Linked DNA regions of Caenorhabditis elegans. The protein of the gene in region 1 interacts with the protein of each later gene in a pairwise test. Each region holds a gene or a part of one and is shown in the gene's direction. Other genes may lie near its edges.

Region 1 (9,128 bases):
AAAAAAACGTGTCGATTTACGCAGCTTGTGTGTACTCCTCGAGGAGAAACGTGATTTCTTCCAGTTTTGACTGAAATTTCTGATTATTTGGAGTATTTATCATTAAAATTGTCGATGATTTATTTGATTTTTATAGTGTTTTAAAAATTGAAAATCTTAAATTTTCTCGTTTTCGGCATAAATTAGAAAAAAAAATGGACAATTTGAATGAGAAATACAAAAAAAAGTGTAAATCTTGAAATCACTTGTCCTCGTGGACTACACGAGCTGCGTAAATCGACAAAAATTAAGTTTTTCTTTTGAAAAAAATCGATAATCCGAAAATTATCTCAAAACTTCCAAAAAATTGAAAAAAAAAATATTTTTAATAAAAATACACCAATTTTTCACATTTTTTCACCGGAAAAATGCTTAAAATTGCAGATTTCTAGGCAATTTTTAGAATTTTTTCCACAAAAATTTCCAAAAAAAAATTTTCAGGACGCCGCATTTGCCCTGTCGAACAGCTCATGCGACAAGCCAATCTACACGGACCCCCCAGTCAAGACAAAGTTCGGTTATCATGTGATTATGGTCGAGGGAAAGAAATAATCATTCCAAAAAAAAAAATGTTGATTTCGCTTTTTTTTGTCTTTTTTGTTGCAAAATTTTTTTTTTTTTTTTTTGATAAATATTTTCTCATTTTTTCCCAATTTTTCCTCATTTTTTGCCCATTTATGCGTTAATTTTCAACGCTTTTTATATCTTTTTCCAGTTTAATTTTACTTTTATTTTAAATTAAAAAAGTTCTAGAAAAAGGGCGGAGCAAAACCTAAGCCACGCCCATAAAATGGTCATTTTTAACGGAAATTTTTTTCCTAAATGTTTAAAGCTAAAAAAATTAATTTTAATATTTTTTGGGAAATATTCATTGTTTTTTCTCTTAAAATTACATGAAAATTCAGTTAAAATTTGAAAGAAAAATATTTTCGAAATGCCAAGAAAGGGGCGGAGCCAACCAGACCACGCCCACACAAAGGGGGCGTGGTCAAAAATGCATTTGAATACTTTTTAAGTGTTTTTTTTAACTGTTAACAACAACACAAAAAATTAGTTTTCATTATACATTTTTAACTAATGCCAAGAAATGGGCGGAGCTAGTCAAGACACGCCCACTGAAAGGGGCGTGGTCGAAATTGAGAACATTTTAAAAATTGAATTTAAAAAACTTTTTGTTTTGTAAAAAAACACCACCGGAAATAATGGAACAGTTTTAACTTTTTCGAAATGCCAAAAAATGGGCGGAGCTAAAAGACAAAGCCCACAGAAAAGGGGCGTGGTCAGGTCAAAAATTGAAAATTTTTCGAAATTAAAAAAATCATTTTTCTTTAAAAAAAAAAACACCACCAAAAATATGATTTACATTGAGAATTTTCAAAATTTTCGAAAAGCCAAGAAAGGGCGGAGCCAACCAGAACGCGCCCACACAAAGGGGGCGTGGTTAAAATTAAGAAAAAAAAAGTTCAAAAAATTAAATTAAAAAAAAAAACTTTTTTGTGAAAAACTCTACCGGAAATATGATTTAAATAGAAAATTTTAACATTTTCGAAATATCATAAAATGGGCGGAGCTAACGATACCACGCCCACAGAAAAGGGGCGTGGCCAAAACTAAGAATCGGAGAAAAACATTATTTTCTTGAAAAAGTCACTGAAAATATGAGTTAAATTGAGCATTTTCAAAATTTTAGAAATGCCAAGAAATAGGCGGAGCCAACCAGACCACGCCCATAAAATGGGCGTGGCTTATTGCACACTGTACTCAGAAAGTTATAGTTTTTCGCATGAAAACCGCTCTGAACATGGATTTCAATTGAAAATTTGTGATTTTCTCGAGCTCAACCGTTTTGTGGGCAAAAAATGGTTTAAAAAATGAAAAAAGAAAGAAAAAATAGAAGAAAAAGGAAAGAAATGAAAAAAATGAAAAAAAAATGAGAAAAAAAAGAAAAAAAAATGAAAAAAAAAATGAAAAAAAAATGAAAAAAAAAGAAAAAAAAAAGAAGAAAAAAAGAAAAAAAAAAGAAAAAAAAAGAGAAAAAAATGAAAAAAAAAAATGAAAAAAAAATGAAAAAAAAAAGAAAAAGAAAATATGCTCTCTTTTTTTCTCTTTTTTTTTCCTTTTTTAAATCAATTTTCTGCAGATCTCTGTTATGCAAAGTATGGATCCCTCGTCAATAGACTTGGGCTCAATACCCGGTGGCTCGGAGCAACAACAACACGAGGACGGAGCAGCAGCAGCAGCTGGAAGTCCCAAAGAAGTATTTCGAAGTCAGCAATCACTTGGGCTCATTACACAACGATTCATGAGCCTACGGCAAAGGAATGAGGTGCTCAATTTGAATGAAGTGGCCAAAGAGTTGAATATCTCGAAACGACGCGTCTATGACGTCATCAATGTGCTCGAGGGGCTCGGTTATGTGGAGAAGGTGGAGAAGAATAATATTCGATGGATGTTAGTGCGATTTTTCCCGGTTTTTCCGAGTGAAATTTGTTCAATTTCTTAAATTTTTTTCATTCGAGGAAGAATGAAAAAAAATTTTAAGTAAAAAATGCCTGAAATGAAAAATGAAAAAAAAAAGAGAAAAAAACGATGAAACATTTTTTTTTTCCTTTTTTTTTCATTTTTTTTTCTTTTTTTTTCTTTTTTTTCCTTTTTTCCTTTTTTTCATTTTTTTTTTCATTTTTTTTCCTTTTTTTTTCTTTTTTTCATTTTTTTTCATTTTTTTTTTCCTTTTTTTCTTTTTTTCATTTTTTCTTCTTTTTTTCTAGTATTTTTTTTTCATTTTTAGTAATCGAGTTCAGAGCTGGCTGGGGTTTGTATCATTTATTGATATTAAATGAAAGGATAGAGCCATCAGATAGGTGATGGCTTATATACAATATGAAGTAGGCGGAGAATCAATAAGATAAGTAAAAATGACGGGGGATAGGAATGCAATCATAATTGAATGGTGCAAAAGATAACAAAACAACATTAATAATGTGAGGATTGCGAGTGAGTCACGGGGCAAAGAGTACGATCGCGTACATTTAGACAAAATTGGAATTTCATGAAAAAAAACCGTTTTCAACCAAAAAATTGCAGATTTGTCTATATTTTCAAGTGGAAGTTGAAAATGAAAGCAATTTTCCAAATTTTCTCTGGAAATTTGATTTTTCAGGCAGTTTTTAATGAAATTTCAATCATTTTGAGCAAAAATTCAGAAGTCTTCAATTTTTGACCGAAAAACTGCTACTTTTCTGATTTTTCTCGACATTTTGACTGAAAATCACTGTTTCAGCTAATTTTGACTGGGTTTTCCGAATTTTTTAGGTGGAAATTGAAAATTAAAGCAAAGTTCCAATTTTCCACTAAAATTCGATGATATTGAAAGAAAATATGCGCAAATCTGCAATTTTTGGCTCAAAAACTGATATTTTTCCGATTTTTCCCGAAATTTTGGCTAAAAATCACAATTTCAGCCAATTTTTTCCTGATTTTCTGATTTTCCAGAGGAATTTCTCAAAAAAAAAACTGTTATCCAGTCAAAATTTCGAGAAAAACGGAAAAATTGCATAATTGTCTATATTTTCCGTAAAAATGATTGAAGTTTTAATAAAAAGTGTTTCCCGGTAAAAGTTGGAAAATTGCTTTAATTTTCAACTTCCACTTGAAAATATAGACAAATCTGCAATTTTTTGGTTGAAAACGGGTTTTTTTTTCATGAAATTCCAATTTTGTCTAAAAATGAAAAAAAAAATACTAGAAAAAAAGAAAAAAAGGAAAAAAAAATGAAAAAAAGAAAAAAAAGAAGAAAAATGAAAAAAAGAAAAAAAAGAAGAAAAATGAAAAAAAGAAAAAAAGGAAAAAAAAAATGAAAAAAAAAAAGAAAAAAAAAGGAAAAAAAATGTTTCATCGTTTTTTTCTCTTTTTTTCATTTTTCATTTCAGGCATTTTTTACTTAATTTTTTTTTCATTCTTTCTCGAATGAAAAAAAATGTTTTTTTTTTCGATTTTCCCTATTTTTTCCAGTGGAGACAACAACAATTCCGAAGAGCAAAACGCGCTCGAGGCCCGAGTCGAGATGCTCCGCCAACAGGAAAAGCTGCTCGAACTGATGATACGAGATGCTCAAGCGATTATTGAGCTCCATTTTGAGGATCCAATTGAGCGGCCCTATAAGTTTGTTTTTTTCTAAAATTTTTGAGTAAAATTGAAAAAGAAATGAAAAAAAGAGAAAAATGAAGAAAAAAAGATGAACAAAAAGAGAAAAAAAAAGAATGAAAAAAGAGGAAAAAAAGGAAAAAAAAATTTTTTTAAAGTTTTTTTCATTTTTTACATTAATAATGAAAAAAAGTGAAAAAAGGAAAAATGAAAAAAGAGAAAAAAAAAAGGAAAAAAAGAATGAAAAAAAGAGGAAAAAAAGTTGTTTTCCTTTTTTCATTCTTTTTTCATTTTTTACACTAATAATGAAAAAAAAAAATGCAAAAAGGAAAAATGAAAAAAGAGAAAAAAAAGAATGAAAAAAAGAGGAAAAAAAGTTTTTTTTTTCTTTTTTCATTCTTTTTTCATTTTTTACATTAATAATGAAAAAAAGTGAAAAAAAGAAAAAAATGAATGAAAAAAGAGGAAAAAAGAAAGAGAAAAAAGGAAACAAAGAATGAAAAAAAGAGGAAAAAAAGTTTTTTTTCTTTTTTCATTCTTTTTTCATTTTTTACATTAATAATGAAAAAAGTGAAAAAAGGAAAAAAATTGTAAAAAAAAGAGAAAAAAGGAAAAAAAGAATGAAAAAAAAAGTGTTTTCTTTCTTTTTTTCATTCTTTTTCATTTTTTACATTAATATTGAAAAAAAGTGAAAAAAAAATGTTTCAACTGAGAAAGTAAGAAAAAAGAGAATTCCAATTTTTGGACAAAATAAGGAAAAAATGAAAGAAAAACTGAAAAAAATAATTTTAAAAAATGGAAAAAAATGAAATATTTAACAAATAAAATGAGAAAAATTGTTTATCATTTTTTTAAATAAAAAAAAGAACTATTTTCAGTTATGTGAGCAAAGAAGACATTCGAAAAACCGCCGAGCCGAACACAAAATCGATTATCGTAAAATCAGAACTGGATACGAGCAGCTCCTTTGAGGTTCGATTTTTTGGCGATTTTTAAATTTTATTTCGAAAAAAATTTAAGAACATAAATTTTCAGCTAATTTTTAGCTAAAATCTCAAAAAAAAACCACAACTTTTTGAAAATTTGCAACCCAAAAATCCACAAGAAAAATCAATAATAGGCTCCGCCGCCCATATATTGGCTTAAAATCGGGCCATTTTTCCAGATCCAAGTAACAGACCCGAGCACCAGTGGCTCACACGATATGATAGTTCGGAATAAGAATGGAGTCAAATCTCACGCGTTGCTCTTCACAAATGATCCGCCAGAGTACGGCGATGAGGAGGACGAGGACGATGTGAAAAAATTATCATCACAAAAAAGATTTGAGACATCTGAAGCATTACGTGTAACCCTAGCTGAAATGCTAACAGATCCCACAACAATCTCATCATCACCAAAACACATCAAATTAGAAGAACCGGAGGAAATTGATACCGAGGATTTGGGTGCGAGGAATTCACAGAATTCGGAAAAAATCTGAAAAAAATCGCAGGAAAATGACTTAAAAATTCCAATTGTCCGAGAGGAGTACAATTTATTTCGAAAAAATTTTAAAAAAAATCAAATTTCGATTATCGGAGAGGAGTACAATTTATTTCGAAAAAAAATTGAAAAAAAAATAATAAAATTTCGATTGTCCGAGAGGAGTACAATTTATTTCGAAAACATTTTAAAAAATCAAATTTCGATTTTCCGAGAGGAGTACAATTTTTTTCGAAAAAAATTTAAAAAAATCTAATTTCGATCGTCCGAGAGGAGTACAATTTATTTCGAAAAAAATTTAAAAAAATCAAATTTCGATTTTCCGAGAGGAGTACAATTATTTTGGAAAAAAATTGAAAAAAAAATTTGATAGTCCGAGAGGAGTACAATTTATTTCGAAAAAATTTTAAAAAAATCAAATTTCGATCGTCCGATGGCAATTTTCCGGCAAACATTTCCAATTTCCAAATTTTTCCAGAAACTTTTGCCCCCCCGGAATTTTCCGAAAATAAGTGGTCACAAAAAATAGGGGGCGGGCTTGCCATTTTGTGGGCGTGGCTTGCTCTTATGCCCCGCCCACAAAATGGGAACTTTTTTTCGGCAAAATTTTTCAAATTCTTTCCAGAAACAGTCGCCCGAAGTTTTTTTTTTTTTTAATTTGAAAAAAATATGATTTCCGAGAAGGCACAGAAAAATGGGCGGAGCGTAGGAGGCTACGCCCACAAAAGAGGCGGAGCGTTAACATTTCGCCGAGAAAGTGTCCATTTTGTGGGCGTGGTTTGAGATTGAAAATTTTGCATTTTCCGAAAAAAAAACTTCTTGAGACAGAGTTTGCCGCAAAGGCACGGAAAAGTGGGCGGACTTACCAATTTGTAGGCGTGGTCTGTGAAGCTCCTCCCATTTAATGCCCCGCCCACAAAATGGCAACTTTTTTTCGGAAAAAATTTCCAAATCGCCCGGAATTTTCAAAAAAAAAAAAAGATCACAAAAAATGGGGCGGGCTTACCATTTTGTGGGCGTGGCTAGTTATTCCCCGCCCACAAAATGATCATTTTTTCGGCAAAAAATTCCAACTTTCCAAATTCTTTCCAGAAATCATCGGCCGGAATTTCCCAAAAAAAAAAAAGGTGCCTACACGTGGTGTCACGTTGTCCCATCACGGTTTGATCTACAAAAAATGCGGGAATTTTTTCCCCAAAAAATGTGACGTCAGCATGCGAAATCAGTTGAGAGCTCTGCACCTTTTCTCCCGCGTTTTTTGTAGATCACAACGAAACGGGACAACCTGACACCACGTGGGCTTACCATTTTGTGGGCGTGGTTAGCTATGCCCCGCCCACAAAATGGTCTTTTTTTTTTCGGCAAAAAATTCCAAATTTCCAAATTCTTTCCAGAAACCTTTGTGCTCCCTCCATCCACATCAGCTTCACAATCAAATGCTCCATATCTACCAGAAACTCCAGGCCGTGGGCTCTTTTTCAGTCCATTCAAGTCACTTATCGATCCGTGTATTCTGCCGAGTTTCTCCGATGATCTGACAAGTGGTTATATTAATATTACGACACCGTCGAGAGCCACTGGAGCCGGAGCCGGAGCCAGCGGCCAGGAAGACGAGGAGCCCGTCAGTGTTATGGACTTTTTCTCTGATTAATTTTTGAATTTATTTTAAATTGTGTTATTTTTAAAAAGGTTTTCTTTTTGTTAAAAATTGAGAATTTTGGTGGAATCGCGCTGCAAACGCGCTCCACGGCAATCATTTTTCGTTTTTTTTTGTGCCATGTGGTGCCAGCCAGGCTGTCCCATAACGGTTTGATCTACAAAAAATGCGGGAATTTTTTGCACAAAAAGTAAAAAAGTATGACGTCAGCACGTTCTTAACCATGCGAAATCAGTTGAGAACTCTCTTGTATCTCTTCTCCCGCATTTTTTGTAGATCAACGTAGATCAAGCTGAAATGAGACCTCAATAAAAACACGAGGAATTCAAATTTTTGGCCGTGGAGCGCGCTTGCATCACGATTTCAACCCCCCCCCCCCCCCCTGATGACGTCACAGTGTACCTTTTTTTTGAATCTCGGTTGAATTATCTCTTCCATTATTATTACATCTCCCCCGCCCAGAATATCTCAGGTTTTTTGTTTTAAAATATTATTTTTGAAAATTTTCTAATTTCTTTTAATTCTCTATACCTTTTTCGGCTCATAAATTCCCCTTTTTTTTCTCGAAAGTTTGATTTAAACATATACATATGTACGAATTTTATTGATTTTTTTTTTCGATTTTTTTCTCCAATTTTATGGTTTACTACCACAGCCAATTTTCTATCTTTCTTAAATTACATTTTCAGGAAAATCGAATTTAGATTAAAAAAAATATATATTGCAAAAACCCACAAACACAAACAGAAAAGTTCGAATTTTGCAAATTTTGTTTGTCCGAGAGGAGTACACGAAATTTTCAAATTTTTGATAAGCTAATTTTCAAACCAAAATTTCTTAAAATTCGGATCGTCCGAAAGGAGTACAATTTTTTTTTGAAAAAGACGAAAACAAAATTTTGAAAATTCAGGTTGTCCGAGAGGACTACACAAAATTTTGAAAATTCAGGTTGTCCGAGAGGAGTACAATTCATTTCGAAAAAATTTTAAAAAAAATCTACTTTCGATTTTCCGAGAGGAGTACAATTCATTTCGAAAAAATTCGAATTCCGAATTTTGAAAATTCAATTTTCGATTTTCCGAGTGGACTACAATTTGTTTCGAGAAAATTGAAAAAAAAAACCTGATTTCGATCGTCCGAAAGGAGTACAATTCATTTCGAAAAAATTTTAAAAAAATCTAATTTCGATTTTCCGAGAGGAGTACAATTCATTTCGAAAATATTCGAATTCCTAATTTTGAAAATTCAAGTTGTCCGAGAGGACTACACGAAAATTAAAGCCAAAAAATTATGCAAAAATTCAAATTTTCGAAAATTAGGATTTTCCGAGAGGAGTACAAATTTTCAGCATTCCAAAAAAAAATGACAGCCGGCGGCCGAATTCTACGGCTCACCGCCGACAACATTGAGGAGGCAATTGACGCGGCGGTTTGCGTATTTCTGAGAGGAGGTTAGCACCCCGCCTCCTACAGTACCCCTACCGTACTCCCTAGGGCTTTCATGGTAGGCAGGCGCCGCCTGCCTGATGCCTGCCTGCCTCACCCCGACATTTCGCTCTTTTTTTCATTTTTAAGAATTTACAATTTTCGAATTTTCTCAATTCTAGTAATAAGGCGCCGCCAATTGAGGCGATAGGCAGGCAGGCGGGAGACAGGCAGGCATTTCACTGCCTGCCTGGAAGCCCTAGTACCCCTTCGACCAATTCTCCTCTCCAGGAATCGTCGCCCTACCAACCGACACTCTCTACGGAATCTCCACCCTACTACAGTACTCTGACAGGCTCTACGCGTTGAAACAACGGCCG
Region 2 (8,401 bases), on another chromosome or scaffold:
ACTGGCATAATACGTACAAAGTTTTTTTAAATATGTTTTGATTGTTGAAGATTTTTGATAAAATTTATTACAACAGAAGTATAAGCCGTCAAAGTATAGCAATGATGTGCAAGTAAGGAGCACTGGAAAATACGGTAAGTTATACAAAATCTTTATATGTAGTAGAGTTGAATAGCTTTACTTTACAGAAGCTTTCATCAACTATATTAGAAGAAAACTTTCTAATCACTACCGCTACCGTAATCTTCCCGGTTGCAAAACGAGTAAGGCGTTGTCGGCTTTCTCGACGGGGTGAAAACAGGGGAAGCGTCTTGACTGATTAGTGATCGGTCGGGTTTTTGGTATTTTCGAGTCATCCCGACAGAGTTATTCCATCGTTCGCCACCACATCTTCTTCATCTCCAAAACTTCTTCACCGTTTTTGTGCGGCGACGATGCGATCTGGGAGGGCGCCGCCGTGATCGAGAGAACGGAGAGATAGAGGGGATGGGTGGGGACGAGAGTGTTGTGATGCGCAGACACACCGGATCGACGCATCCCTACCGGCGACGGCTACTGACCGGCCGGGTCACTTGCGTTCGGACGACGACATGCGAGGTAGGTCATCTCACGTCTTCTTCATCTTCTTCTTCTCTCGAAGATGTTGGTGGAAGGAGAGAGAAAGAGATGCAAAAAAACGGGGAAGGGCATGGCCCGGCGACCGGACCCGCTAACCCGGTCACCCCGTTTTCGGCCATGGCTAACCCAAAAAAGATTCATTTTTGCCGATAGGACAACAATTAATTCAGTAGTTCGTTTCAAGATCCATGATCCAGGTTCTAGGTTCCAGATTCCAATTGAAAGGTTTCAAAATGTGTTTGTGTTGTCTAACCAATGTTTACCATCTATGTTATGCACGTTCCACTGTTATCAAGTCTATCAAATTGATCAAAAATGCCTATATTTCACGGTCACTCTGCCATTGCCCCATAGTTGGACGAGATAGAGACCACCACCTTCCTCTACCGTAATACTCTTCAAAATGCCCTTTTGAAAAGATGAATTGTGAAGGAGGGAACAGCCCAAAATTGAAGAAAGAATCGACATTTCAACACTTTGAAATGATGTCGTAGTTCGTTTTTGGCTTCTTTGTGTGGATTTTGATTATGTTTCAGTTTTACAGTATCTTATACGCTTATAATTGTTTTTTTTTGGACTTTAAATTATTTTTACCATCACCGTATTTTTCTTTTCTTTAGCGCAACTTAAACTTATTTGCTTTTCCTTTCTGGTATTATACTGAGTTATTTATTATGTGATTCCTATTTATACTGTAGTTTTATTTATAAACAATTCCCGGTTCCTCCTTTGACACTTGAAACTTCTAGTTTAAAAAGTCTCACAGTACTGAAATCCATTACTCTACTTTGTCAATTTATATCTGGACTAATTTTACAAATATCAAAACACAGTCAACTACGAAGCAATTTGTGAATTGATAACTTTTCGATGAAACAAAATGAGATATAAGCTAAAAAGGATATGAACAATGTGGCTCAATTATAGTACGGTATCTATTTTGCACCCAGTACCAAATAAATAGTCGTACCCAGTAAATGGAGCACAAAAACCATGCTTCAGATTTTCGTGCGCCCTTTTTCATTTATGAGAAGATTCGTTTTCCCATTTTCTGTCGGATTAATACTGATTTGAAAATTTCAATTTTATTACTGTGTCTATTTTGCAAAAGTTACACTTTTCAGTTATGGTATATTTTGATATTTGAATTGTACTATTATTTTGTTATAACTCAACATCTTGAAACTGTGCAGGATATTAAAAATACTTATCGAATGGTTTTTTTCTTATTTGTGGTCGTGTTCTGTTCTTTTCCGAAACCACATTCCCTCTTTTGTAGATTAAGATCAGTATCTCAAAAAGATCTCTGATTTTCTCTCCCTCTTTCTCGCTTTACTTCTAGATATTTACTTTCACTATTTATTTTATACATCTAAATTTATTATGTAAGGAGCACTAAAAATAATTTTCTCCCCCTTACTAAATTTTTCCTTATTGGTCATAACTTCAACTCAATACGGACAGTCTTTATGGCCCGCACGAGTCAGTACCAGTGCGGCAGTTATAATAAGTATTAATGGTATCTCATCTCCTCATCGAGTTATTATTCCCAATTAAGTTCGTCTCACATCTTGACCTTGAATTCAGTTTTCTTTATTCCCCTTTTTAAGTTTACACTTACTATTAAATTGCAAAAATCTTAAAGCACAGCTTTTTGGTTTTTTTTACTTGAAATTACATTCTAATTATCTCACACAATGTACTTTATCAGTGACTAATGAGAGTGGGGGTAAGGGACACCTTTTCCCGTCCAGCCGCGTGTCACCGAAAACCGGTATTCTCTACCATTAGGTGGTCACTGTCGGTACCAGGTGCATGTTCTCGCTTCGATGGTCTTCAATGCAACATTTCAATGGTCATTTCGAGAGTTTAGCCAAACAACATCAAAACCATTTTCACTCATTTCGAAAATCTTGAAAAAAGGTTTTTAAGAAGATCAGGGGTCAAGGCACATCAGAGCGCATGGCATGGCCTGTAAGGTCACTGGCCCAAATCGGCACCTCACTTCAGTTCTCGAAATGTCATCGTTCGTGTAGTGAGTTGTTTTTCTGTTTACGTGGCACCTCGGCGGGTGTCCTGAAATCTTTTGATCTAACTCTAGACATTTGAAGCAATCCGTAATGTTCTAGCATACTGTAGGGATGTTTCAATTCAAAATGGAAGTTTCGAAGACTATCTAAGATGGCTGAAAGTTTCTGAAATTTTGCACATATTTTTAACCAGATTTCGGGTGTTCTTCACCGTTTTTGCCATCAAATTCACTTTTCCCAGTTTTCCGCGGCGGTACCATCACGTACTTGCTGTGTATACGTCTCCGTCTCTCTTTTGTCGTTTCGCATGATCAGCGGAAAGTACAATTTACGAAATTGCAACCTCCCGTCGTCGTCGTCGCTGCCGCTGCCGCCACCACCATCATCGCAAACCACGTCGTCTATATCCTGCCTCACACAGCGCGACGACGTCGACGACGCGGGGTCCTGTCACCTCCTGGCGGGAGGCATACCGTACCGTTCGCGCGCAACACACCGTGCACAGGTACCGAGGTCACTTCTCGAGATGAAGAAATAGCGCGGAGACGTACACACAATTGTCTTCTTCATCTTCTTATTCCTACGTCTTCTTCATTTCCTACCTTGTTTCTCAGTATTCCCATATCCTCCATCGTCACCGTCTCTTCATTCTTTCAAAACACTGTAATTGTTATGAGAGGAGCGGTGAGATGGGGATAAAGTTGAGAATAGGCAGGAAATGAAGGATGAGCGGTATGATGAGGAAATATGAAATATGTTGCGAATATATAAGACCTGATAATTGTGGTCCTAGGAAACGAGGTTGAAAATCGAGCCGATATAATAAAAGAGTTGGGGACGACGAGATTTTTATCTGAATCAGAAATGAGTGATGCTATTCGAAGTGAGATTGATATAGATTTTATATTCTTGCCGTATACATTTTCTGATTAAAATTTATGCACAAAAACATAAAGAACTCCCGAAGCATATTTCTCTTGGCGGGTTTTCGTCAAATTTTTCATTTAAAAATACCAAAAAGCTGAGCCATTTTTTTTGCGTTTTAGGCGAGACATTAAAATTTCCAGTTTCACCAAATTTCTTTTGAAGAATTCCATTTGCAAAACAATGCAAAAACAAAATTTTTTTGTTTTTTTTCAAATATTTGAACTTCTGCGTTTTTAATATTTATAAATATTAAAAACGCAGAAGGTACGGTGTGCTAAGAGTGTTTGCGGACTTTAGTTCATTTTATGTCGCCTACCGTAGTCCGCCTCGCTGATATTCGTTTTTTTTTAAATTCATTTTTGACATAAATATTTTGTTTTCAACCATTTTTCTCAAATTTAAATTTAGAATTCGAAAAAAATCTTACTATTCTAATCTAAAATATGCAATGATTCAATTTTTAAGGCTAATTCCCCCCCCAAAAGCAAATAACAATGAAAAAAAATGTTCAGCAGGAATTTAAATATTTATTTTGCGTGAATTTTTTTCCTAACTATAAGCTAGTTATTATGTTTAGATTATATCTTATTGATAAAACCTAAATAATAATAATAAGTCACGTTAAGATCCACGGCTGGTTTTTGTTTCGAAATTTCAATTAATTTCAATTTATATCCTCCAGTAACTAATAGGTGAGTTTCTTAAGCTCTGCGATTGCATGGCATTTCGTAAAAAAAAAACGTTTCGCAAACTGTTTCTAGACGTTCAATCTTTCCGCGTATCCTATCATTACTCGCTTAAATTGTAGTCCGCCTTTCTTGATTTTATCTTCAGCTGGCCTCGATCGCGACAACAAGCTCACAATTTTCCGATGCAAGCTGTAGAGCAGAAGTTGGCTGATGCAACACGAACTCTTCATGCAAAGTCATCTCTTCAACCATCACTCTCAATTGAAACTCCAAAAAGCAAGGAAAATGATGAATCTGGATGCGAGAGTTCAAATTGCATGTTTCATCCGCATACGATCAAATCGGAACCAAATTTTTGTTTTGCTCGGGAGTTTAAGTCAGTTCCCGATGATTTTCGTATAGGCGGCGGAGATCTTCAAATGGGAAACAATTCCAAAAGATTGACATGTGTTATTGATACAAATCGAGTCGATATGGCCGGAATTCTTCCTGATAATATGAGCTTCCGGGGACTTCCCGAAAACAAATCTCTTCTGGGTATGCACGTATTTTTTGTTCATTGTCCTACTAACCTTTAAAACCCTTGAAATTTGGAATTTGGAACCGAACTCTGAAAAAAAACACTCCAAAATTGTGATAAACTGAACTTTTTAAAGATTCTAAATTTACTTTTTCAGTATCAGCGCAGATAGAAGTAATACCATGTAAAGTGTGCGGTGACAAGTCGTCTGGCGTTCACTATGGAGTTATCACATGTGAAGGCTGCAAGGTATGCCTTTTTACCAGAATTACTTTATTTCTTATACATTTTTCAGGGCTTTTTCCGACGCAGTCAATCATCCATCGTCAATTATCAGTGTCCGAGACAGAAGAATTGTGTTGTTGATAGGTATCTCAGTTAGGAATGTTACAGAAATTTAATATCGTATTTTCAGAGTGAATCGAAATCGATGCCAATACTGCCGTCTCAAAAAGTGTATTGAGTTAGGAATGTCACGGGATGCAGTTAAATTTGGACGAATGTCAAAAAAGCAACGAGAAAAAGTAGAAGATGAGGTATTTACATTCCCAATTCTAAACTTCGTATTCATGTCATCGTTTTTGTCTGTTCAATCCTTAAAGGTTCAGGTTCGAATGCATAAAGAATTAGCTGCAAATGGTCTTGGATACCAAGCAATTTACGGCGACTATTCCCCTCCACCATCCCATCCCAGTTATTGGTAATTATCACCTACATTTTTCTGTCATGCAACGTCATTTTCAGCTTTGATCAAAGTATGTACGGTCATTATCCATCTGGAACTTCAACACCTGTTAACGGATATTCTATAGCTGTTGCTGCGACTCCTACGACTCCAATGCCACAGAACATGTACGGAGCAACACCATCATCTACAAATGGCACACAATATGTTGCACATCAAGCCACTGGAGGAAGCTTCCCATCGCCACAAGTTCCAGAAGAAGACGTTGCCACTCGCGTTATCAGAGCTTTCAATCAGCAGCACAGTTCCTATACAACACAACATGGAGTTTGTAACGTGGATCCTGATTGTATTCCTCATTTGAGTCGAGCTGGTGGTTGGGAGCTCTTCGCTAGGGAGCTCAATCCGCTTATTCAAGCAATTATTGAGTTTGCCAAAAGTATTGATGGATTTATGAATCTTCCGCAAGAAACACAGATTCAATTGCTGAAGGGAAGCGTTTTTGAGTTATCACTCGTTTTTGCTGCTATGTATTACAATGTAGACGCGCAGGCAGTGTGCGGTGAAAGGTATTCTGTTCCATTTGCATGCTTGATTGCCGAAGATGATGCCGAGGTATTTATTTTCATAGAGTAATATCGGCTCATACTCAATGTTTCAGATGCAATTGATCGTTGAAGTTAATAACACTCTTCAAGAAATTGTTCATTTACAACCGCATCAATCCGAATTAGCTCTTCTTGCCGCTGGACTTATTCTGGAGCAAGTGTCTTCTTCTCATGGAATTGGGATTCTTGACACTGCGACGATTGCCACTGCAGAAACACTGAAGAACGCGTTGTACCAAAGTGTCATGCCAAGAATTGGATGCATGGAAGACACGATTCACCGAATTCAAGATGTTGAGACAAGAATCAGACAAACAGCTCGTTTGCATCAAGAGGTATTATTTGCTGAAGCTTGGATATAAATAATCTGGAATGCTTAATTTTGAGGTTATTATTTTTCTATTTACAGGCTCTTCAAAACTTCCGAATGTCTGATCCAACATCATCTGAAAAGCTTCCTGCCCTCTACAAAGAGCTATTCACTGCAGATCGGCCTTGACTGAATCCATATATCATCAATAGTTTTATCCATGCTCTCCTTCCCTATCCCCGTCCATGAATCTCGTTTCCTCCGGTTATTTGTACAATAAGAGTAGACCAAAGCGCCGTTTGAACCCAACGACACCATTTTCTTTCCTTCTGTGATTTCCTTTCCCGACATTCCCCCCAAAACCCCAGTCGTTTCCATGTTTTATCAGAAAATTAATAGAAAAATAATTGTAGTCGTCTGTTGCAGGAGAGTTCCTCATTCTTTCTCTCCTTTTCCTGTTTTTAAAGTGATTTACTCGGATCTTCTTTACTTACTTGTTCTAATTTATTAATGACTTTTGTCACCCCCCCCCCCCCCCTCGTGTACCATGTACAATCATGTTGCGTTCCATGTTTTCTTGCATTTCATGTTCAGTAAAATTTCTGAAACCATACCAATCTCTCTCTTGTCTTATCATTTCTCTTCAGGTATTGATGCCTCTCCCCATCCCATCCCATACTCTTTTCGTGATCAACACGGGTACAAAACCACAAATTTCCATTTATCTGGATTTCTAGGCGCACTAATTTTTATTTTATTAAATATCTCCCCATTTATTGCCTTTTAAAACTCGTATCATTCCAGTGTCTGCGCTTTAATTACGCCTTCTTACCCATTTGATCCAACCATTTTCTCGTTTATGGTGTAGTGGTCGCTTGAGTGTTTCCATTGTTTCATGTAACATCCTAAATATGTTTCATTGTCATCAATGCATTCAGCTCCATACACCGACTTTTTAATTTATTTCACTTTCCTCTCGGTTCTACCTGCCCCACAACATCTTTCTCTGTTAAATATAATCTCTTTTTTTTTGGTTTTCTCAGTGATAAAACGTCTCAATTTTATATTTTTATTTTTCTGGTTATTCTCCGTAGAATTGTTCCTAATTAATATTTACTTTTTATTCCGATTATTTTCCAAAAATAGATACAACGCGTGAGTTTTAAGACGTGAGTTCTAATTAAATTTCCAACACTACTTTATGTTTCCACGAGGCTCTCGTTATCATAAATTTGTCCACTTTAGAATAGAATATACTCATATATTTATATCATTTTTTAATTTTTTACGAAGTACTTCATCAATGATTTTCGTAAGTTGAAATTGAATTTAAGCTTTAGATTATTTCTGGATCTATCAATTATATTTAGTCAAACATAATAGTGTCAGTTTCAGGAATTCAAAGTTTTTTTTTTTCTCCCACATTTCCAAATGTGGTTTTTTTTTAAATTTATAATATTTAGCTTAATATTTCGACCATTTTATTATACTATAACGGTACCTATCCCCAAATAAATCAAATAAAATATTTCAGATTTATGTGTTTTCTTATTTGGCATGGATTAATTTACCGATAGAGACAAAGGCAAATAAATGTGGAAATGATTCTATGGAATTGTATGCAGCGGGAAGATATGACAGGTTTCTTCTATTCAAAACCTTTTTAGCATAAATTTATTCATTTTTCAGCGAGCCTTTCAAAATGAACGAACATGATATTATCCAGCTCTACGGGGAAGATGTCCAATATGTCAAAAATGCGTTTCTATCTAGCGACTCTACATGCAACAACAATGTATATTCTCTTGAAGAACATGAATTGGATGACGACAAGAAAAATCTATCAGGAGTTCTTGTCGAATACAAAATTAAAATCAGCTTGCTGCAATCCAGTGATGGTGTGAAACATTTATTTTTTTGTACAAATCCAAAAAGTGTAGATATTGCAAGAATGTTGGAGATACCTGAAGGAAAAGGTTTGATTTTTTGGTTTATTTTTGAAAAAATTGGATTT

Evidence for each region.
Region 2: the proteins of efl-2 (region 1) and nhr-23 interact in a two-hybrid assay, tested with the Caenorhabditis elegans proteins (one large-scale study listed by BioGRID).

Annotation. Positions count from the first base shown.
Region 1 is NC_003280.10:13,403,963-13,413,090, forward strand, and holds efl-2 (Transcription factor efl-2), read left to right. Parts: upstream 1-2,177; 5' UTR 2,178-2,197; coding exon 2,198-2,490; intron 2,491-4,050; coding exon 4,051-4,200; intron 4,201-5,060; coding exon 5,061-5,154; intron 5,155-5,347; coding exon 5,348-5,630; coding exon of another isoform or gene 5,631-5,665; exon of another isoform or gene 5,666-5,722; intron 5,723-7,061; coding exon 7,062-7,318; 3' UTR 7,319-7,933; downstream 7,934-9,128. Other genes in the region: pinn-4 (Peptidyl-prolyl cis-trans isomerase), read left to right, coding at 481-591; Y48C3A.18 (Threonylcarbamoyl-AMP synthase), read left to right, coding at 8,687-8,774, 9,040-9,128.
Region 2 is NC_003279.8:7,214,377-7,222,777, forward strand, and holds nhr-23 (Nuclear hormone receptor family member nhr-23), read left to right. Parts: upstream 1-2,407; 5' UTR 2,408-2,585; coding exon 2,586-2,653; intron 2,654-4,409; coding exon 4,410-4,801; intron 4,802-4,941; coding exon 4,942-5,033; intron 5,034-5,079; coding exon 5,080-5,153; intron 5,154-5,199; coding exon 5,200-5,320; intron 5,321-5,386; coding exon of another isoform or gene 5,387-5,392; coding exon 5,393-5,484; intron 5,485-5,528; coding exon 5,529-6,084; intron 6,085-6,130; coding exon 6,131-6,412; intron 6,413-6,486; coding exon 6,487-6,576; 3' UTR 6,577-6,852; downstream 6,853-8,401. Other genes in the region: Metal transporter cnnm-4, read left to right, coding at 7,997-8,028, 8,077-8,363. UniProt on the Caenorhabditis elegans protein: Orphan nuclear receptor. Transcription factor. Modulates expression of target genes, such as Period protein homolog lin-42 and microRNA let-7, by binding to hormone response elements (HRE).